Pelodiscus sinensis: one gene and its partners. The protein of the gene in region 1 purifies or fractionates together with the protein of each later gene. This does not show direct contact. Links are inferred from orthologs where the notes say so. Each region holds a gene or a part of one and is shown on either strand. Other genes may lie near its edges. The genes, in order: MAP2K1, LAMTOR3 and MAP3K1.

Region 1 (7,365 bases):
GAATTCCAAAAATTTTACATATTATATGCACACAACACAACTGAAATCCAGGCAGCTTTGCAGCACAAAGCATTAACGAATCAGGACACGGCAGTACTTGGAAAAGAATTAGGGGAAAAGGCAAAAAGTAGTATAATCTGGTCTCAAAAGGCACAGAAATGGAGCAAGATTTGGGATGCATTCCCAGCTCTGCCTCATGCATCTTAAGTCATACAGGAAGTGTCACAATAAGAGTTGGCATTTGTTGGGAGGATGAGTGTTTTTGATTGATGTTGAATTCTTGCTATGTAAGGGCAGGTTGTTGATTTGCTGTTTGTATTATTTATGTCATCAAAAGCACCTAGCATACATTTTAACCTCCCGAGGGTTAAATCTGAGATGTAATATATAACAAAGATTCAAGGGGGAGGAAGGCACATACAAATGATTACTGCAGGAAAACTGAAAAATGTTGTAAGATTCAGGCTTTTTGTACAAATAACATTTTCTGTATAACCTCAGGTTCATATATCTTTGTTTTTGGTGTAAATAGCTTGCATTCAAATTTGGAGTCCACTCACTTCTCTTGTTGCAATGTTGTATGGAATTCTGGGACTAAAATGAGTAACCTTGAAAGAAAGAACATTGGGGAGATGCAATGGATACCTGCTTTTTAATTTTAGGTGTCAAAATAAATAAATTTGGCCTGTGTCTCAGCTTCTCTGTAAAATGGGGATAACCGTATCCCACACTCACAGATATTTAATGTTAAATCAGATTATGTTTGTAACAGCCATGAAGATCCCTGTACAGGAAAATTTAGATATGTATCTTATTAATCTTTACAACACAATCCAGGGCAGAACCCAGGTGACACTTAGGCCAAACTTCTCAGAAGAGTTCAGCACCTGCTGTCCAAGACAGATTTTCAGAAGAAATCAGCTCCCATTAAGGCACCAGGGTGGTTGGCTAGATTTGTAATGAAGATCAGCACAATGGACACTGAGTGCTTCTGAAAATCTGGTTATAAATATCACAGTGGGAGCTACTAGCTCCTACATAAGTTTGAAAATTAGAGTATTAAATAGGTAACAATGGCAACCAAGCTCATTTGAAAACCCGTCACCAATTGCGGGGCATCGGCCCCGCATGATTAACAGAACTGATGGAACCTCCATTTCAGATGTCCTCTGAAAAACCCACACACAAACTTAATTTAATTTCCCTAACAAAGCAGAAGGGTCACACTGACCTTTCTGGGATAGCAACCTGTATTCCAGGGATTGTAGGTATTTCAACACCTCTGTTTCTCTCTCTCATAACCTCAGGCTAAGAATGAAATGATGCGTGCCAACCTGTTGCCTTTAGCAAACTCAAACTCTTTTGTAATTCTTCATTCTTTTACACTACAGATAATTTAAATACAGACTTCCCAAGCAAGCATGTTTTGTTACCCATAAATTCACAGGTAACCCATAATTTTAAGGACTGCAATCTTTGTTATTGTTGTTAAAAAAAAAGGATCAAATCAGCTAGTCGGTACTTCCCTCTTGATTTTTTTGCAATGTTTTCATTATACCCAAAAAGTGTAGCATCTTGTTTCCACATGAGTATTATTTGTAATCAAATGTGACAGCTGAGGTGACTGAAAGAAAAGATTTTCTAAAATGGACTGCAGTCTGTTATAGAATAAAAAGGAGGAATGACTTTCTGATTTCCAGAGCAAATTACTCTTTTTTACATATATAAAATATTCCTATTGGAAAAAAGTACTTGACATTTGCTAAGTACTTATCATATAGTACATGCACGTGTAAAAGATACCATTAATATGGAAATAACATTTCCATCTAAAATGTTTGTATCTACCAGAATTAAAAACTGTGACTGAAGTTATAAAATTATTTTTCACCTTGTTTACTTTATGCATCTGACAGAATTTTGTGTCGCCAAATTCACTGTCCTTTCTGAAAAGACACAAATATTAACAAGGGGGCAAAAAAAACCCACCCTGGATTATTTTGATTTTTTTTAATTAAGCCTTGATAATGAAAGGCTGCTCTAACAGAACCTTTTGTAACAGTGGCCTTTAAAAAAAAGATCCTGTTGACAGTACCCTGTAACACCTCCTGTGTTTTTTATTTTTTAGACACAGAGATTGAGGCGCTCGTGTTAAGCACCATCGTCTCGCTTTGCTTTGCTGGAGTCCTGGAGAATGTGCAGAAATGTTTCCCGTTATCCCCAGACTAAGAGATTTAGGAGCACGGTCCCCCAGAGACACAGCAGGGGAGCGAATCTTGGGTTGTATCTGCCCCACCCCTCTCTCCTCCAAGGCAGGAGTAACACCCAAGCCCCAGGGAGGCTGTACTCACTCTGCAGTGCTGGTCCCATTGATGGTGGAGCTATCTGGAGCCGGGTTCAGCTGAATTGGCATCGGCTTCTTTTTAGGCATTTTGCAGTAAGAAGAATGGCTCGTCAGTTCCCGAAAATGCCCAGCTCCGGGGGCTCCCTCCCGCCGGGCAGAGTGCGGGGCTCCTCCGGCAGTTCCCGCCGCACTAGGCGATCTTCCCTGCTAGCGCTTCTGGGCTCCTGCGCCGGTCAGCCGGCGGCCGCTCCCTGGCCGGCAGCCGCGTTCCGGGCGCTCAGCGCGGCTCCCGGGGCCGGCAGCCGCTCCCCGCCTGAGCAGTCCGAAGTTCCCCGAGCGGCGCCGGGAGAGCGGACCCTGCCCGAGCTCAAACCGCGTCCCTGCTCGCTACTGTGCATGTGCAAAGCCTCGGCCCGCCCCAGTGCGCAAGTGTGGAGCCGCTGCTCATGGGCACTGGGGAGGGCCGCCTTTTGCAAGCACCCGCCTGCTCCTCTGCCCGGAGTTTCGCTTCGGGTGCGCGGGGGAGGTGTGCGCCCGGGGCGAGCCGGGGACTCGCTCCTTGGGGAGCCGGGGCTGGGTTCTGAGTCAAACGCGGGCCTGCTTCGGATTCTCATCTTCCCTGCGGCCACGCCACGAGAGCTCGGGGCTTCTCTCCCTCCCTTCTCACCACCTCCCATCCCCCCCTTCCTCGTGTACACGCACCGGAGTCACTCCGCGTTCGGTTCACACGCGCGCTCCGGTTGAGAACTGGGCCCCGAAAGGGGATCGTCAGACACAAGCCAGGAGCAAAACGCGCAGCCCCGGCTCGAAAAGAGACGGAGGGGATCGTCAGGTGACACAGAGGGGGGTGAGAGCAGGACAGGATTCCCGTCGGAAGTCACCAGAATGGAGCAAAACAATGGGGAGGTTAAAAACAACGAATAGTCTAGTAGCACCTTAAAGATTAACAAAACAGGTAGATGGTATCACCAGCTTTCGTGGGTACAACCCACTTCTTCAGATGCTAGGAGTGTAGAACTCATGGGGAGGTTGTGACTATGAGCATTGGAGGACAGTCTAGAGCTGTGCATGGGATGGGGTCTACTCTGTGAAAGAGCAATGGGATGCATATTTCAAAAAGCAGAGCATTTTAGACTTTTCCTCATCATGACCTACTCTGTTTGTAACTAGAAAGGCAACAGGAAACTCACAGCTCTGCTGTTCTTCTCCCCTGCCTTCCAATCATTTCTTGGCCAGTTTGGGAGGGGAGGGGTTAAAATGTTCCAAACCGTTAGAATATGTAAGGGTGAATCTTAGGCTCTGTGTCACTAGAACATCATTAGGTTACTTGCACCACAACTAGAGGACAGTCGTTTAATCATTTGTGCGCTTTACAGGATCATAGGCAGAAATTTCTGTGGGGGGTGCTTTCTTGTAAATGTGGTCTGCAAGGGTGTGAATGCACCCCCCTCTGGTCCCCCAAGTAAGCAGGGAAATCAGCCCCCCTTCTCCCAGCAGACCAGAGCATGGGCAAGGGAGGCTCAGGCAGCACTCTCCTGGCCAGCCTGAGCATACTTACTTGGGGGACTCAAGGGGGTGCTTTCCTATCCCCTTGCGTACAGGCCTGCTTTGTATTTAAAAGGGGATTACAAAAGGAACTGTCAACATCTAGTAAATTAATCTGCTATGAGTATGTAACCTTTTGTTTATAATTTTTCAGAAGTTCTGTGAAATGGAATTATGAGGTCTGTAGCAATTAAATTAGCAAATGTCTACCATAAATACTTACTCTGCATATCAGCCTACAGTGTTAATGTTACATGAAGAACAACTTAATTTAATCCCCATATAAAATCATTACTCTGCATACTTTATATATTGAAAGTATTGTATTTATAATTAAAACATTAGCCTGAATTTGCGTATTAATGGTTTCTATTTATCCCCATAAATACTTGAAATAAAGATCAAACCGTAATAATACCATTAGAAAATAACTCATTATATATATTAAAGTGAGAATGAAGATCAGGTGCAAAAATTGCTGTTATTAACCCATTGCTTTAACTTTATCAAATAAATACTCAATACGAATTCATATTAAATGAAAGTTACAATCTGTATTTATGTACAAGTGATGTTGAATTGTTTTATATGTATCTCTAAAAAACTCTTCATTTTAAATATCAGGACATATTTCAAATTAATGAACAGTTGCAATGCACAGAAGTTTTAATCATCACGTGTTCTTGAAATTCTAGTGGGGTATAACCATTTATTCAATAATGTTCTGTGGTATGTTGCCAGAAAAACAAGAATAGACTGAGAGAGTGTAAGTTATAGAAAAAAATCATTCAAAGCCAGATATATAAGGAATCTCACCTCATTGCTTCCTTTAATAGCTTTAAAACTTAAATCAGTAGTTTTCAAAATGTGGGTTGAGACCCCCAAATGGGTTTGCACCACTGGGGTTGTAGCAATACCTAGTATATACAAGATGCTATTTTGCTCCGTACCGTGTGATGTCACATAGACCATTCATGCAAGGTCATGAATTCATGATTAAATGTTTTTCTATGCGGACAGAGGTATTCTTTTATTGACATATCTGTGCCTATACTGGCTGTTAGGTCAGCACTTCTACAACACTTGTAGCACTTGTGGGGGCGGGATTCCACATCCTTGACTAACATAACCATGGCAATTTACCTATTAAATGTAGACCAGGACTCTAATTCCGAACTCCTAATTCCTGTTTCCCCTTTGTTCCGAAGCAGGGAGGTAATCTGTACCAGCCCTTTGGCTAGTGAAGACTTCTACTCCTCCCACTGTGGTAGCTCCTCCCAGGGCAGTGACCATCTCTCAGCTCCTCACCACTCACTCTTTGCCCACGTGAGCCAAAAGAGGAGAGGCCGGACAGGGGCGCTCTAGGAAATGTTCACATGGTACCAACAGCTTAATGTGGCAGAGAGGAGGCTGGACCAAATTTCAGTGAGTCGTGTTGCAACCTGGCAGGTGAGTTCACAGGCAGGTTTGGCCAGGCAAATCCTCAAGAGAACACAGAAGGGCTCACAGTTGAGCCCCTGGATTCAATGCCCAAATCTACTTTAATAAGTTATAAGGTGAGAAGTCAAAGAATGTATGCAGTATATATTTCAATAACAGTTTAATTTTGAAATACTGGCAGTCTTGGGACAATTAAATCTTTCCAGTAGCACATTTTCTCCTAAGACTGATCACTGGCTAAACTGTAGGCTTTGAAAATATTTTTTTTTAAATAAACGAGGTAAAGCCTTATGGCTAACACATCTGAAGAAGGGGGCTGTGCCCAGGAAAGCTCATGATACCATGTACATGTTTTGTTAGTCTTTAACGTGCTACCAGACTATTTGTTGTTTTTTAAGTTTTTCCTGTTACAGACTAACTCAGCTACCCCTCTGTGGGATCCAGTTAACACATCTGTAGGGCTTTGTGACAACATTTAAATGGGTGCTATCTGTAAGTATGCTTACGATATCAGTCTCCAAAGCATTCTTTTAGTACAGATAATACATAGCTTGAGTCTTAGCATGAAATCACCATGGCTGCTGAGTGTGTTCCCTTCCCTTACGTAAACACTTTGGTGATATTTATAACACATTTAATGTAAAAGCTAATAGCATTGTTCACATTCCACCACTCCAGATGTCCTCATATTAACAGAAACAAAATGTTACACAAAATAAATATGTAGCTTTTAATTATAGCACAAATGCAATTTTAGGAGATAATTCAAGCAATGATTTGCCAATCTACAAGGTATTAGTTATCAAGAAAATTATTCTGCTTTACAATTGATAGCTACATGTCATCTTTTCCTGTATTGTATTTGCTTTACTATTGGAATAAAAGACCTCATTAAACATCAACAAAGAAGCAGAAAAACCATTACAAATGTGTAAAGGAATTTTTATTTTTAAATTTGGGATATCTGAAAACTTAAAATTTTGAAAATAATCCGTTTACAAACAGTTCAAGTTGACAGTGTCACTCTAAGCAACTATGCATCTTTGCTCTGACAACCCTTTATGGAGATTTTTCTGTATGAGGCAAGCTACTGAATATGCCCTTTTGTGATAGATCACTGTTTGCATGTCATTTGAGCTATACAATGGATGCGTGGGCAGGAGGATGTTCACTCTTAACATTTCTCAGCCTAATGTGCCTTTTAGGCTATCTACACTAGGGAAAAATGTGTATTTTGACACTCTACTTAGCTAACACATACTAACTAATATTTTAGAAACTTAGCCATGATATCTAGCTGGTGTAAATCAGCACACAACCATTGGAGCCAAGGAGTGCAGCTATGTCAATTTACATCAGTTGAGCATCTGGATCTGAGTGTAGACAAGCTAGTATTAGTGCCAACAAGTGTTATCTGGTCAAGATAAACCTAAGTAGGGAGTGTGGTGTTTCTCTCAACCAGCTACTGTTAAAATTACAACTTGTCTAGGCTACATTAGGATTTGACATGCTACCTACCATGTTAAAAATTTACTTTTTTTCTTAGTAAAGAAAAGGCTTCAGTGAGGTTGTTCCCTCTTTTACACACAGGGATGTAAAGGCACAAAAGGCAAAATAGCTTGCTCTAGCCAGCAACAGAATTCAACAGTCCTGAGTTGTAACTGGCCTTTGATCTAGATGCACTAGTCCTCAACACAAATGGGATATGCTTACCATCAATAACCCATGTGACAATTCTCTCCAGACTAGAAGTGGACTTAATCTGTCCCTGAGAAATTGATGTAGCCATTTCTCACTCTTGGTCTCCACTATGAGGTTAGGTCAAAGTAAGCCACATTAGGTCAATTGTATAATGAATGTCTACATCATCAAGCCCTTTCCACCAACCTTAAGTGGGTTTAAAATCAACTACTCTACTCCACCTTGATAAGACTAGCACTAAATTCAACCTTCCTGGGTTGAATTTGGGGTAGTAGAGATGCAGCACAGTTCGATTCAACGTTCTTGGTCTCTGGGAGGTGTCCCCCAGTGCTCCA
Region 2 (7,754 bases), on another chromosome or scaffold:
TCCAACACTCTGGTCATCTGAAGAAGTGGATTGTGCCCAAGAAATCTCATGATACCATCTACATTTTCTGGTAGCACTTTAAAGACTAACAAATTATTTGTTGTTTAAGTTTATCCTGTACAGACTAAGTAGGCTACCCCCTGAAGCTTTTGAAACGTCATTCTCAGACAGTGAAGGCCTATTTTCCTTTCAAAGTGTTTATAGATGTCTAAGGACTTAGTCCTACAAATACTTTAGCTCATTAGGGTTTCTAGGTGTCCAGTATTGACCCAGACAATCAGGTATTTTCGCCTCCTGTCTGGTAAAAAAATTCAGAAGATACCAGACACCTAAAATGTCAGGTATTTTCTGATTTTTTTCCCGGCCAGGGGGCGAAAATAAGGGACACCTGGCAACCCTAAGCAACCAGGCCCAGCCTGCCTGCTTCCCCCACCGAATACCTCATTCTGCAGGGAAGCTGTCTGGTCCAAAGCAGGGAGAAAAGGCAGAGAAGATGGCCGAAGTAGCGTCGCAAACAGCTGCCTCTCAGAAAGTCATACCTAGGGCGTACTGAGCATGTGTTATGCAACTGAGCATACTCAGCAAAAGCTGCTGTTGCTGTGGCCCTCACTCTGCTGCTATACCTGCAGCCTGTTAAGAGAGGCAGAGCCCAGCCCCTGTTCTTAAAGGGACCATGCAGGGTTTTTTTGTTTTTTTGCGCTTAACTCTCAGGGCCCCCCCCCTTTTTTTGCTCAACAACTTTGGTCTCCCCTGCCGCCCCCCTTTTTTCCCCACCAACAGAATTTTTTCCTCTGTTTTTTTTTGGGGGGGGGGGGGGGGAGGGGGATGGTCGTCAGTATTTTTGGTTAAACCATCTGGCAACCCCATAACTCACGCATAGCTTTACTGCCATAAGTCAGTTCCACTGCACTGAGTGAGGCTTCATAAAGGCACGCCCATATGGATCAGCATATAGGATGGGTCTGTAAAGTAAGCTTTTTAGGGCAGGTAGCATATTTGCAAAATACTTACATCGGCCATGTTTTGAAACTTTTTAAATAAATCAGATGTACTGTCAAAGTTCCTGAAAAATAAGAGCCAACAATAGTCATGCACATAAGCTTTTATCTGCTCTCTTTCTCTTTTTTTGTTTAGTCTCACATAAAATTAAGGAGGGAGCAACATCCCTATTAATTTCTAGCATTCCCTAGCTTTCCTTCCTCTGCCAACGTGAAGAATATAATGCCCAAGGCACCTGCCCAAGAGAGCGAGTTCTGGGCATTGAACTGCTCTTAAAAGAAAATGTCTTACAAGATGCACACAAGCCCTTCTCCAGAGGGCCTTCCTCAAAAGTAGTCCCAGGGGCAATCATGGATCAAAAGCTGCATAAATAAGATAGAGTCTCAGGGCAAGTCTACATTTAAAAAGCTACAATGGCACAACTGTCCAGATGTAGTATTTTAGGTTAAGGTCCTACTATGCTGACAGGAGAGCTTCTCCAGTCCACAAAGTTAATCCACTTCCATAAAAAGCAGTAGCTATGTTCACAGGAGAAGCTCTCAGACAGCACTATCAGACAGCACCAAGAGTTAGGTTGTTATAACTGCATCACGTGGGATGGGGGTTAAGGATCAGAATCCCCTTCAGTATTTGAACCAAGCCAGGTTAGTGAATGTGCCAACCAATAGACCAAATCTGGTGATTAATCCTGGTCACATGCCACCTGAAGCATGATGTGCATATGCTAAGAGGACAACTGCATGGCATAGGGATGTGGATTTTTCATACCCCTGAGCTACATTTTTATGCCAATGTAGGTTTGTAGTGCAAATCTAGCTTCAGGGATTGGGCGCTAAAAAAAAAAGGGGGGGGGGGAAATGAGTGTGAGGTTAAGGTAAGTATACATTATTTCTTGATATTCTCTCTGGCTACGTCTACACTGGCATGATTTTCCGGAAACGCTTTTAACGGAAAAATTTTCTGTTAAAAGCATTTTCGGAGAAGCGTATCTAGATTGGCCACGGGCGCTTTTCCGCAAAAAGTGCTTTCGCGGAAAAGCGTCTTGCCAATCTAGACATGCTTTTCCTCAAAAAAGCCCCGATCGCCATTTTCACGATCGGGGCTTTTTTGCGGAAAATAAATCTCTGCTGTCTACACTGGCCCTTTTGCGCAAAAGTTGTTTGGAAAAAGACTTTTGCCTGAACGGGAGCAGCATAGTATTTCCGCAAAAGCACTGACAATCTTACATGAGGAAAAAAGGAGGGACAGGTGAGGAAAATCTGTTCTATGAGGAAAGATTTAAAAAAAAAAAAACACACAAGGAGCTTGGGGCTGTTGACAGAAAAAGAGGGTGGGGGCTGGTAGAAAAGGGTTGCTAGAGGGACTGAGATCAATCGTTGTCTGTATCCTCTAAGAGCAGCAGAAGCAGTAACGGGCCGAAGGCAGCCTGGCTACGGGGCAGCGGAGACCCGGGCCAGGTTTCCAGAGCAGGCTGGAAGGTCCCCTCCCTGCAGGTTTCTAGCACAGACGGGACAGACACCGGTCAGGCTGGGCCAGGGTTACCTGACCCTACGGGGGGCCGGGAGACGCTCAAGCCCGGGCGTTCCCGCACGGCGAGGGGGGGGCTAGCGAGAAAGGGGCCGCGCCGTGGGCTGTGGCGGCGCTGGGGGGAGGCGGGCCCGACCGGGCCCCTATAGCTCGACTCCCCGCACCGCATAGAGGGAGGAATCAATACAGTAGGCCCTACAATAACACTAGCTACAGCCCCCCTGCTCCCTTACCCTGGTCGCTTCCGGGATCCCCCGCAACAACAGCCCAGGCAGCGAGCGGCCGCTTCTCCTTTAGCCCTCGATCACGTGATGCCCCACGCACGAAACAATCACAGACCTCCCGCCCCACCCACCCCTGCCGGCGTCACTTCCGGCTGTAGCGTCAGCTCGGTCTCCCGTGTAGCTACGGAGCATGCCCGACCGTGAGAGCCGTGACAGGGCAACGCGAGTGGGAGCGCGCAACCACGGCGGCGTCTTTGCCCGCTTCCGCCCCAACGCAGAGGGTGCGGAGGCGATCATGTGACTGCACTTCGTTGAGCCGCGGCCGGGCCCTGGAGGCGTCCAGAGGCGCGCGCGCACCCTGTTGCGGAGCTCGCGCTGTTGAGCATGCTCCGTAGCTACGCCCAGCCCTGGTTGTCAGGCATCGCAAAGCCGGCGGTGCTGGTGCTGCAGGGATCTTGCTAAGGGGGCGGGGCAGTGCGGGGGGCCTGTCTGCTAGGGCTGGAACCAGAGACCATTAGGACTGGAAGGGACCTGGCTGGAGAGTGTCCAGGCCCCTGCCTCAGGGCCCAGCATCGTCTCTAGGCCAGCGGTTCCCAACCTTTTCCAGATGGGGATCCATTTCCACAAGTGAGGAAGACTTGGTGACCCATATTTGGGTCCCGACCACAGGTTGGGAAACCCTAGTCTAGCCAGGCTCTGATAGATGTGTATTCAACCCACCCTTAAATATCTCCAGTGACAAAGATTACATGACCTGTGTTTGTGGGTAATCAAGATGACTCTGCTTCTTCCCTTGGTGCTGTGAGGAACATGCCTAAAAGCTGAGTCTCGGTGCTGCATAAGGGTAGGGAAGAGTGTGCTTAGTTCTGGCTCACACCGAAGCTACCCCTGCTACGGGCTCTGCCTTTGTAGTAAGAACTTGCAGAGCCACACCAGGGGTAGCTTCCGGGGCCAGCACATAGGGTTGCAAGATGATTGAAACAAAAATACCAACCCTCCTCCCCCCCCCCAAAAAACCCACCAGGAAAAAATTCTGTGGGGGGGGAGAAGAGAGGGGAAAGTGAGGGGAAACCAAAGCTGCTGGCTCCCCCAACCCCCCCAAAAAAAGACTCCAAGGACTTAAGCCCAAAAACAGCATGTCCCCTTTAAGGGTGAGTGCATGGATAGGAACAGGGAAGTGGTTGAGCACTAAGACCCAAGGGGAAGATTGCTTCCCTTAGGTCTTTTGGCCAGTAGCTATTTTGTGCCAGCAGCCTTGGGGAACCAGGTAAGCATGGGGGCTGAAGTCAGAGGGGCTAGGGGTGTTGGGAGCTGGGGGGATGCGAGGGAGTGGGAGGCCAGGCACTGAGTGTTTGTAAGATTGCCATGTGCCCAGCATTTTTGCCTCCTGGCCAGGGAAAAATTCAGAGAATACTAGACATCTCAGGTGTCTAATAGTCTGAATTTTTTTTTTTACCAGGCAGGAGGAGAAAATACAAGACTGTCCAGGTGAATACCAGACACCTGGCAACCCTACCAGCACGAGCCAGGACTAAGCAGTCTTGGCTCATGCCAGCCCTGGGACTGCTACGGCTCTGCATTTTAAATATAGTAAGAGCTCACTGCATTTAAAATGCAGAATTGCAGCAGGGGTAGCAAGCGCCCCCCTCATTATTGACTAATGGAGTAGGCATTGGAAATTCCATTGACTACTCATTTAGCTAATTAATCACAACTTAACATCCCTAATGTCCACAGTAGGAAATTTCAAAATAATTAAAAGTAACTCCAAAAATAACAATCAAAATAGCATGTCCCCGACCACACAGGAGCCTCAAAATTAATCCGAGGCAGGCTCCATTGTTGTAGATACGCTACCTCGTCTTAGAGCCCTAGGAAGTACTGGGAAATACTTACTTCAAATTACTCTGGGGAGTAGTTAGTTATTTTGAAATATTTCAAAATAAGTATTCTCCGTATGGAAAGTAGGAGTACAGATTTCAAAATACCCAGCTTGTTATTTTGAAATAATAGGCTTGGTAATGTGGACGCTCCGCTTATTATTTTGAAATATGGGGAGTTATTTCAAAGTAACTCCTTAGTGTAGACCAGGGCTTAGAGCAGTGGTTTCCAACGCAGTGCTCCCCAGCACAGTGTGCCCAATAAGTGATTGGGGCTGGCCCCGCCCCCGGACACATGGCAAAAGGGCAGTGCCAGCCCCGGGCGCGAAGCACATGGGCGGCTCCGCCCCCAGACGCACAGTGCATAGGCTGTGCTGGCCCCGGGCACACAGTGTATGGGCGTCCCTGCCCCTGGGCACGCGGCACAGGAGTGGTGCCGGCCCCAGGTGCGCGGCGCATGGGTGCTGCCGACTCCTGGGCATGTCTGCCCCTGGGCACATGGCACAGGAGCAGCGCCGGCCCCGGTAGTGCAGCGTTTGGGCGGCTTGGGTGCCCGGTATGTGAATGGCCCCACCCCCAGGTGCCTGGCAGCCCCAAAAGGTTGGGGACCACTCAAAAATACATAGGCTCATGAACTTTCCTGAATAAAACCCACTTCATCAGATGAATCTTGGGGAGGAAGATGGTGATATTTTTCAGAGTGCATCCTTTTTCCCTGTAACTTTTGTAATGGTGCAAAAAATCACAGAATGAAGGACCTACCGAAACCTAATGCATGATGCAGTTTACTTAATTTTTATCTGATTATCAGGACAAGAGTGGAAGTTTACTATCAGTTTATGAATTTCTCAGCAAGATTTAAGTCATTTTCTTCTTTTAGTACTCAAGAACAGAATATCCAAATGGAGTTTGTTTGAGCCTGTCATTTCTGATAAGTTCAGACTTTTGCTGTTTACATGATCGTTCCCAGGAAGATTTTTTTTTTTAAAAAAAATCTCCCCAAAATAGCGAACTCTATTTGTACACCACTTTTCTGAGTAGCTCATTTTCATTATCACTGCTGTTCACTCATTTTTAAATAAAGTAGCTTATGTGTCTTAATTATATAAACTGTAGACATACAGTATATTAAATCCAGGTTGGGATCTAATATAAAATTGTAAGGGATGAGGGGTACATATGTGCTTGTGCTACTTATTTATTTTTCTAATTTGAAGAGGAACATTGTTACTTATAAAGAAAGGATACATGTAGAACCATAATAAATCATATGCCATTTTTAACGTTAAACTCAGACATACATGTAACCCAGAAGCACTGAGAACAACGGACAAATGAGAATGAAGGCTGCTCTACAGCCTTAGCTGAGAGAGAGTTGGGTTTTAGCTCAAGCTGTAGAGGCACATGGCTTTAGACACTAAGGTCCCAGATGCTGACGACCCAGGTCCCTGTGTAACAAATGCATAACTAATGAGCAGGATTAGGGGTAAAATATGGACCCTATTAAAATCAAAAGAACTCCCTCTTTCCTGTCCCCACACGCTTTTTTCCGAAAGAGCTCTTTCGAAAAAAGGTTTCTTCCTTGTAGAAAGAGGTTAACCAATGTCGGAAAAACCTCTCAGTTCTTTCGATTTTTTTCCCAAAAGAACGCGATTGCAGTGTGGATGTAATTGAAGTTTTTTAGAAAAAAAAACTAGTGTAGACATACCCTTGGAGACTAAAAAATTATATATATAGTATCATGAGCTTCTGTGCACACAACCCACTTCTTCAGACATCCGAAGAAGTGGGTTGTGACCACAAAAGCTCATGATACTATACACTTTATGACTGAAAGTTGTTTTTTTCAGGGGAAAGGAAAACACGTTTATTGAAAGTAGGCAGTTTTCCTTATGGTAATTAATGGCTGTGCAGAAAAGTCTTAATTTATAAAACAAACCAGCAATATTTTCCAAATACATAAGAATTTAAGATGAAATATTTTAGTAGCTAGATAACTTTGTCTTAAAAAGAAATAATTTATCTTATAAGATCAAATATGTGCCTATTCTTAGTTCAGTATCTACATGAGCTGAGCATAAATAAAACACAAGCCTCTGAATTTAAAACTAGAATGAATAGTTAAAGTTTTCTTTAACATGTAAATAATAAGATGTTTGCACATTTACACACTGAAAATAATTTTATTTTGATATGTCTAATATTACATTAGATATTATAAATAAGGCAAGTCTCTTTAAACTTAACCTTTACATCTTGGAAATGCCATAGAGTTAGACAAAACAAAATAAGAATTTTGTTAAGATACCACCTTCATCTCACCAGATTTCCTTTGCAAGGCTTCCATTACATTATTAGGTGTATTGAACATGATTTGCAAAGCCTAATCACATTTCCCATATTGCACTGCTTTTTAAAAGTCTAAAGAACAAACATTTAAATTCCTTGAGATTTTTAAAGCTTTCCATGATTTTACATTCTCCAAATGTCAGTTTCACAACTGACCATACAGCCAATGCCAGCAGCAAGTTCAGAAACGTCATTTGAAATGTAAGCCATTTCTAACTACCTTCCCCAGTTTAAGTTGAGAAATGCTTTTACTTTGTGAGATTTCAGATTTCTGGGAAGCGCAAAAGGCTATCATTTTCTTTTAAAAACGGACTCTAATGAGAATGTTTACCCACATATTGGGGGAAAAAGTATTTAAAGATTAGTTACACCAGAACCCTCAAATTTGGATGGATAGTTGTAATGCCTAATGGAAGCCCTGTTCTGTGCAAATTTACAGTGGTACAATATTAAACTATCACAAAGTTTGAGGTATTAGCTGGAAAAGAAATATATACACCTATAGACATGCACACACAGTATTCACAAGTCTAGTGGTCCCAAGACCAGCAAACCTTGGTATTTAGTGAAAAGGAATCATGTACTTGCCAGGAAAATTATATATGCAAAGAAGCCTTAAAAACACACATCACATAACCCTTAATATAAGGAATATGTTATGTTTCTGTTCAACATGCTTAAAAGGGAAATTATTTAAACACATTGAAAAAAATTCTTATCTTTAATAGTGAGTAACCAAACAGAAAATGGGAGTCTTAAACCTGAAACTTTCCTT
Region 3 (7,508 bases), on another chromosome or scaffold:
AAATACAAACAAAAAAACGGTTTAAAAGAGTTTGAAACAGAAAACAGGAACTAACTTAAGGAATTTTTTTTAAATCCATGGAATTGGCAAGCAAGAATGGAGTCAATATTTTAGCTGTGATTGCCTGATGTGACAAATGTTGACCTTCCTGAACCCATAACAACTAGCAATAAGTCCCACTGAAAACTGTAAGCAACTTTTACTGTTTTAAAGGCATGTTTTGATGTTGTTTATGCTAGTTATTTTTCTCTTATGTGGTACAGAATTATTTAATTGCTACAATGGTAACACCTATATATGAGGTAACAATGAAGTAAAGTATATTTTAGTTTCATACCTTGTCAAAACTCTAGAGATAATCATACAAAATCAAATAAAAACAAGTCAACTGCCAACTTTTGTACATCATCTTTTCCTTGAAGTAACTTCATGAACATAGATTTCCTATTAATCTTTCTATAACTACACTGGTGCTTCATCTGCTGGTATCATACTACTGTCAAGTAACTGGTTTATATTTACAGCAATGTGAAAGTCCACAAATATTGCACAGAATACATCTAGATACCCAAACAATTGCTGATTTTAGATTGCCATATTAGTAAAGCATTCTCTAGAATGGAAATCTTTTTTTGAATGTCCTTCTACCACAAATGGGAAAGACAGATTTCTTTGTTGTGAGTTGAGTAGCCAACTAAAAGCTCTTTTTCTCTGTAAAATAACTTTAGAAGTAAACCTATCAACACTCAGTCTTCACCGCCAAGCGCTGCAATTCACTATTTACACATGAAGTCTCATATAAAAATCCTTATGAAACTACAGTAATTGTTAAATCTATATAAAGATTACAAGCTCTATCTCCACCATTACTCTCACCTATGCACATACTAAATGCTAGCAAGTGTACGTTAAAAGTATTAAGTACAACGTATTCAGAAGTACATGAGAAAGCATTTTAAAATATGCTCATGGTAGCTTCAATTCTGAATGCCTTTGCGTGTGTAAGATACATATTGAATGTATCCTAGTTATTGAACTTGTGCCCCGGATTGCATCACAATAACTATAAAATTGGAAAGCTCTATAAAATCTCAAGTATTATCAAATAAAATACAGAATAGGACTAACACTATAAAGATACCACGTCTCATCTTACACAATATGCAGTCTCCAGTATAATTACTGCAAACACATTATACTTTCTACACTTTTGCAGAGTAGATATTTCATGTTTGTAAACTGTCTTTTATTCAGCAAAACCAAAACAGTTCCACAACTTCAAGTGAAACAAGCCACAGAAGAAAGGATTCATTTTTATTAATGTTTAACTATACCGATGGGAAAGCAAAGGCAAATGTAAAATCTAAGTAGTTTAGAATAAGTACTATATAGATTATGAAAAGCAGACACACTTTTTTTGTGGGGAGGTGAGGTGAATCCGGGGGGAAGGATGCTTTAGCAGGAAAAAAAAAATCAAATGCACTCTGCTGCACTGCTTGGAAGAGTTAACGGGTTTAACTGCACTGAAACTGAATGGCTGACACATCCGGTCCTGGGTCCTCAACCACCAGGGCAAATTCAAACTTCAAAGCCTCTCGGAGCTCAGGCAGAAATAAATCACTCCCCTCACCCCCCAACAGCTGCGATTCCCATTTAACTAAGAGTCACGACTTCCAGAAAGCAGCACACACAAACGGGTTGGCAGGGCAAAGGTAACACAAATGAGAAGTTGATGCACAGGCTACACAGTCCTGGGAAATACAATCCTAGCTCTTTTATCCTGCAGCGCCTGCCGCATAAGTCAACGAGGCACTGAACACAACAAGCTACTGGCCAGTCCCCTACTCCCCCCCCTTCTCTTACAGATGACAGCTCCCCACAAACACGGGGGGCCTGTCGGGGGCGATCTCACACCAGCCACCCCCTCTGCCCCATAACACCGTCCCCCACGCATATCCCAGCGCCCCTGCAAGCAAATCCGGGCCCGAAAAGCACGTCCCCGCTACCTGCCCATGGGCGCAGCGCCAGGCTCCCGGGGCTGGGTCTCCACCGAGAGGGGGACCCGAAAGCTCGAGGAGGGGCAGGGGCCAGGCTCCGGGCGCGCACTATCCCACGCCGCCAGCAGCGCCGGGCCCCCCACCTCCAACACCTGCGCGGGCTGCCCCGTGTGAGGCGCCGGGGTCCTCACCGCCGCCCGCTCCAGCCCCGCGCCGCTCACCCGGCAGGGGGAGACGGCTCCATCCTTCTCTCGGCGGCGGGGTCGGCTCCCACGGGGCTCCCGTCCGGCAGCGGCTCGTGGGGCGCGGCGCAGCGGCCGGGGGAAGACGCGGGGCTGGAGGGGCCGGAGCCCCCGGCGAGGCAGCGCGGCGGCGGTTCGGGGGACTCCGGCGAGCCGGCGAGGAAGAGGGGCGCCTCGGGCAGCCGGTCCAGCTCCACGCTCCGCACTTTGCGCAGCTGCTTCCGTCTCCAGTCTGAGCGCTGCTCCCGGCAGCCGCCGCCGCCCGCCTCCCGCAGGAGCCCCCCGCCGCTGCCGGGCAAGCTGCCCGCGCCGCTGCCGCTCTGCAGGCTCCCGGAGGCGGCGGCGGCGGCGTCCGCGCTGGTGCCCGAGGATAATCCCGACGACGAGGTGCGAGTCCCCGCCGCCGCCGCCATTTTCTCTGGCGGGTCACATCGGGCTCCGGAGCAGGGAGGCGGGGGATGAGCCGCGCTCCGGCCGCTGCGGCAGCGGCGTGGGCTGCGCCAAAGGCGTACGAGGGGTGGGAACTGAGCGCAGGCGGGACGGGCGTTGAGAAGGTGAGGCTGGGAGCGGTCGCTCGACGCCGCCCGCGGGCAGGTGGTGGCAGGACCTGGCCGTACCTACGCTGGGCGGGCTGGCTCCTGCCTGGGGAAAGGGGCTGGGCCGGAGGAGCCAGCACCTGGCGGGGGGGCTGGATGGTGCAGGACCCGGCAGGCGACCCCGCCTCCTTCACTCCTCGGAGATCAAGGGGCCGGTTCCTGCCCGCCGGACTGGGGGGCTTATCCCGAGACTCTGACCGGTGTGTCCTTGCCCGGCTCCCCCAGAGCGCGGAAAGCTCCGTGCAGTTGGGGAGCTTCTCTCTCCGCGGCGGTAGCGAGGCCAGTGAGAGCCTCACCTACCTTGCCTGGCGCAGATGCCGGGGGCGATGGGACTCCAGCTGAGAAGCAAACATTTTCACCCCCGCGCCTGCACTGTACTGAGAAGATCTCCCTCCACTCGGCAAAACGTATCCCATAGCCGGAGAAAAGGGGAGAGGGTTGTATTAAGAATGTGGGGAATACAAGCTCCTCGTTTGGAGGTAACTCCCCTCCACCAGAGTTGTACTCGCATTACAATAGATAGTTTCCCATTCAAGTACACGCACCTCCTCACCACACTTGGAGATTAGCCCTATCCATTCTGATTTAATTAGCACTCCCAGCTCTGTACCTTCTTCCCTCCCCTTGTGTTGTTATTTTTTCTTTTCAGCATCTGAGGAAGTGAGTTCAAGCTCATGACAGCTTATGTTCTAATACCCTAAAAACATGGTAGCATGGTAGTCTTTGAAGTGCCCCTAGACTCCTTGTTGTTTTAGAATCATAGAATGAAAATAGCAAGCAAATGTTTTGAGAGAACACATTACTGTGTAGTAGTATAGCAAGTGAATGGTAGTGCACCAGTCCTGGAGGTACTGTAATACCAGATTGATGCATAGGGCTGGGCAAATCCAGCTCCCTACTCCAAAAATAATTCAGTCATAGCGCACCAGGGTAGTGTGTCCAAAAGGACAGGTTGAGGATACTACACTTGATTTTAGCCAAACTAGAACTGGAAGGGACCTCAAGAGATCATCAAGTCCAGTCCCCTGCCCTTCTGGCAGGACCATGTACCATCTAGATCACCCCTGAGAGATGTCTGTCTCACCTGCTCTTAAAAATCTTCAGGGATGGGAGATTCCACAACTTCCCTATGCAATTTATTCCAGTATTTAACCACCCTAACAGGAAATTTTTCCTAATGTCCAACCTAAACCTCACTTGCTGCTGTTTAAGACCATTGCTTCTAGTTCTATCCTCAGAAGCAAAACAGAATGATTCCCCCTCTCCCATGACGCCCTTTTAGATACATGAAAATATCATGTCCCCTGTCCGGCTTCTCTTTTCCAAACTAAAGAAGCCCAATTCTTTCAACTTTCCGTCATAGCTCATGTTCTCTAGACTGTTAATCATTTTTGTTGCTCTTCTCTGGACCTCCAATTTCTCCACATCTTTCTTGAAATGTGGTGACCAGAACTGGACACAATACTCCAACTGAGGCCTAATCAATGCAGAGTAGAGCAGAAGAATGACTTCTCGTGTCTTGTTCACAACACTCCTGTTAATGCATCCTAGAATCATGTTTGCTTTTTTTGCAACAGTATCACATTGTGGACTCATATTTAGCTTGTGGTCCACTATGACCCCTAGATGCCTTTCTGCCGTACTCCTTCAGACAGTCACTTCCCATTCTGTATGTGTGAAACTGATTGTTCGTTCCTGAGTAGAGTACTTTGCATTTGTCCTTATTAAACTTCATCCTATTTACCTCCAACCATTTCTCCAATTTATCCAGATCATTTTGAATTATGACCCTATCCTCCAAAGCAACCCCTCTCAACTTGGTATCATCTGCAAACTTAATAAGCATACTCTCTATGCCACCATCTAAATTGTTGATGAAGATATTGAGCAGAACTGGTCTCAGAACAGATCCCTGTGGAACCCCACTTGTGCCCTTCCTGCATGACTTAAAATCATTAATAACTAAACTCTGACAATGGGGTTCCAGACAGTTATGCAACCACCTTATAGTAATCCCGCTACCAAGACCATACTTGATAGTTAAAACAGGGACAGAGAGAAGATTTAGACACATGGAACAGACAAAATAGTCACAGAACATACAAACTTAGAGAAGAATTTTAAACCATCAATTTAAACTTATTAAGCAACAAGAGATAGTTAAAAGCAAGTCGTTCTAATAGCTAAGCATATATAGGAAATCAATTAAAAGAAACTGAAAATGAAGTAAGTATTGAAGGTATTAGATTAGATGAATGAGTTTTTGTACTTTGAAAGGAAACACTGAAACTAATGGACTTCTCAAAATTAGAAATATATTCTGTACCAGGGGAACATCAATATTTGTCTACTTGTTTAGGTTTAAATTATTTTGCATTTAATGAGTATCATTAAGCATGAATGTACAAAGCATGAAATATATTGAAGAAATAAGATTGCCATTGCGTCATATCCTGCAGGTATTCATTCTGCAGAAAACCTGTTTGTGTTGAAGAAAAGCACTGCAATCAAGGAACTCTCAAACTATTGCGCTCCAATGAGTTAATTTAATTTAAAATCTGCGGTACTATAGACTAATATGAAGTTAATCGTTTTCTATGTGCACATTTCCCCTAAATTGTAAGTGGTAACATCCAAGACTGATTATGAAACTGAAGTCTTTGGCCTAGATCCTCAAGTTGTTGTCTTGCAACAATTGAAAGAGTGTGGCTGTTATACACAGATAAAGTTCTATATGGGAATATGGTAAATTTTGGCAAGCTGAAGGCTCATCTTTTTCTCAATACCTAAAATAATATGAATTCAGCATAGTTTTCAACACAGTTAATCTCAAACACAGTTACACATAGAAACAACATGCAGTTAAGAATCTTCTATGCTTCTGAATACATAAAGTAGGCAATACTGTCTGCACAAAGTAAAGATGAGAGAGAAAATGAATTATATAACATAACAGCTTTTGGTCATGCCTATACAAGCAAAGTGTAACACCTCATGATAACTGGATCCTCTGACATGGTAGGTTTGGTTGTGAAAATATGCTCATAGACAGCTCATTCACATTCAGTCTACAAGTGCTTAGATGGGCTATAGCTGAAGGGAAAGTGAACATGTTCCATAGCCATCTCTCTTTTGTGTTTGCACCGCCACATGATAGAAAACTCAGACAATTGAGTGGTAACTCACCTGGAGACTGATAGTGCCCTCTTGACTCTGCTTTACCATTGCTCTTCTAACACTTCTCCTTTCTTTTAAAAACTCCCCCTCCTCCCTTTCTTACTTAAAGCTCTTAGGCTATGTCTACACAGCAGCATTATTTTGGAATAACAGACTATGGTGACATATGCACATCCCATCATAGGAGTGAAGATATTCAGGGGTGTGGACACCTCCTGATTGCCCACAGGGTCATTAGCTGTCTCTGTAGTCCATAAATACCCCCTTGTGGTCTATGAAAGTTGAGCTTAGTGTCCAAGGTCAATAGTGCTGTCCTTCTCTCAGGGCAGTACAGTCTACCAGTCAGAGTCTGTCGTCAGCCTTCTCTCTGGAGTAGTGTGGCCTAGTGGCCAGAGTCAGTAAGTAGCCTTTGTCGCAGGGTAGTATGGTCCAATGGCCAGAGTCAGTAAATAGCCCTTGTCTCAGGGCAGCACAGAGTCAGTAAGTAGTACTTGCTACAGAGCAGTAGGACTTAATGGCCATAGTCAGTAGGGTTGAAGCAAGCATCCCGGTAGGGGGTCCCAGGCCTACACTGCTCCATGGGGTCCCAACCCAGGCTCCTGTGAGCAGCAGAATGGTCTACCACTCCCTCAGTGGGGAATCCAGCCGAAACACGCCAAGTATACCTGGTTGTGAAAGGCTGCTCCTTTATCCTTTCTGGGTCACTTCTTACTGATTCTGGCAGGTCAACCTCCCATGTAGCGGCTGAGTCTCCCAGTTCCCCGGTAGCAGTTTCTCCCTGGGATTCCGAGGGGGGTGCGTAGCAGCCATCTCCCGGGACTCTGGTTCTCGCTGGCTTCTGCAACTTGGGAGCTCTGACCGGAGGTTCTTCTCCTTTGCTGTCCAGCCCAGACTGAGATGCTCTCTTGCTTTTTATGCTGCCCCAGCACTTGGAGTATGCCCAGTCTGGTTGAAGGGGTGAGGCTTCTTCCGCCCACAGGGTTTTCACTCCCTCTGCTCCAGTGTGAGGCATGCACACCCCATGACACTGACATTATTCTGAAATAACAGAGTCCGTGTCTACGGAGCAAGCAGTTATTTCGACATAATGTCAAAATAACTTTGAGCTGGAGGACTTCTTATTCCGACTCCTGTAACCCTCATTTTATGAGGAGTAAGGGAAGTTGGAGGAAGAGTGCTCTGTCTTAGACTTCTTTCTGTGTAGACAGCACCAAAAGCCAAAATAAGCTATTTTGATTTAAGCTACGCAATTGACGTAGCTCACGTTGCATAGCTTATTTCAGCTTCAGTCCTGCTGTGTAGACGTGCCATCACTGGCTGACAGACAAATAATTTCTCAGTTCAAAAAGATGGTAAGAACTGTATCTGTTGGAAATAATCCTATATTGGGGTTATTTTAGGTGTTAGAATGAAGGAATCCTTATCTAAGAAGGCTTTGCTCCTTTTGAACATGACTAATAAAGCCCACTAACAATTTCCAAGAGAGACTGCATTCT

The links.
Region 2: the proteins of MAP2K1 (region 1) and LAMTOR3 purify together in Homo sapiens (affinity purification with western blotting; 3 studies listed by BioGRID, with this or other methods). This does not show direct contact. The link is inferred for Pelodiscus sinensis from reciprocal best matches to the Homo sapiens genes MAP2K1 and LAMTOR3.
Region 3: the proteins of MAP2K1 (region 1) and MAP3K1 purify together in Homo sapiens (affinity purification with western blotting; 3 studies listed by BioGRID and IntAct, with this or other methods). This does not show direct contact. The link is inferred for Pelodiscus sinensis from reciprocal best matches to the Homo sapiens genes MAP2K1 and MAP3K1.

What each region holds. Positions count from the first base shown.
Region 1 is NC_134724.1:4,697,236-4,704,600, forward strand, and holds the start of MAP2K1 (dual specificity mitogen-activated protein kinase kinase 1), read right to left. Parts: upstream 3,011-7,365; 5' UTR 2,432-3,010; coding exon 2,352-2,431; intron 1-2,351. UniProt on the Homo sapiens protein: Dual specificity protein kinase which acts as an essential component of the MAP kinase signal transduction pathway.
Region 2 is NC_134715.1:23,356,189-23,363,942, forward strand, and holds the start of LAMTOR3 (ragulator complex protein LAMTOR3), read right to left. Parts: upstream 3,034-7,754; 5' UTR 2,760-3,033; intron 1,064-2,759; 5' UTR 1,021-1,063; coding exon 1,012-1,020; intron 1-1,011. UniProt on the Homo sapiens protein: As part of the Ragulator complex it is involved in amino acid sensing and activation of mTORC1, a signaling complex promoting cell growth in response to growth factors, energy levels, and amino acids.
Region 3 is NC_134716.1:95,999,327-96,006,834, forward strand, and holds the start of MAP3K1 (mitogen-activated protein kinase kinase kinase 1), read right to left. Parts: upstream 3,081-7,508; 5' UTR 2,653-3,080; coding exon 2,219-2,652; intron 2,030-2,218; exon of another isoform or gene 2,015-2,029; coding exon of another isoform or gene 2,007-2,014; intron 1,886-2,006; exon of another isoform or gene 1,547-1,885; coding exon of another isoform or gene 1,413-1,546; intron 1-1,412. UniProt on the Homo sapiens protein: Component of a protein kinase signal transduction cascade. Activates the ERK and JNK kinase pathways by phosphorylation of MAP2K1 and MAP2K4. May phosphorylate the MAPK8/JNK1 kinase.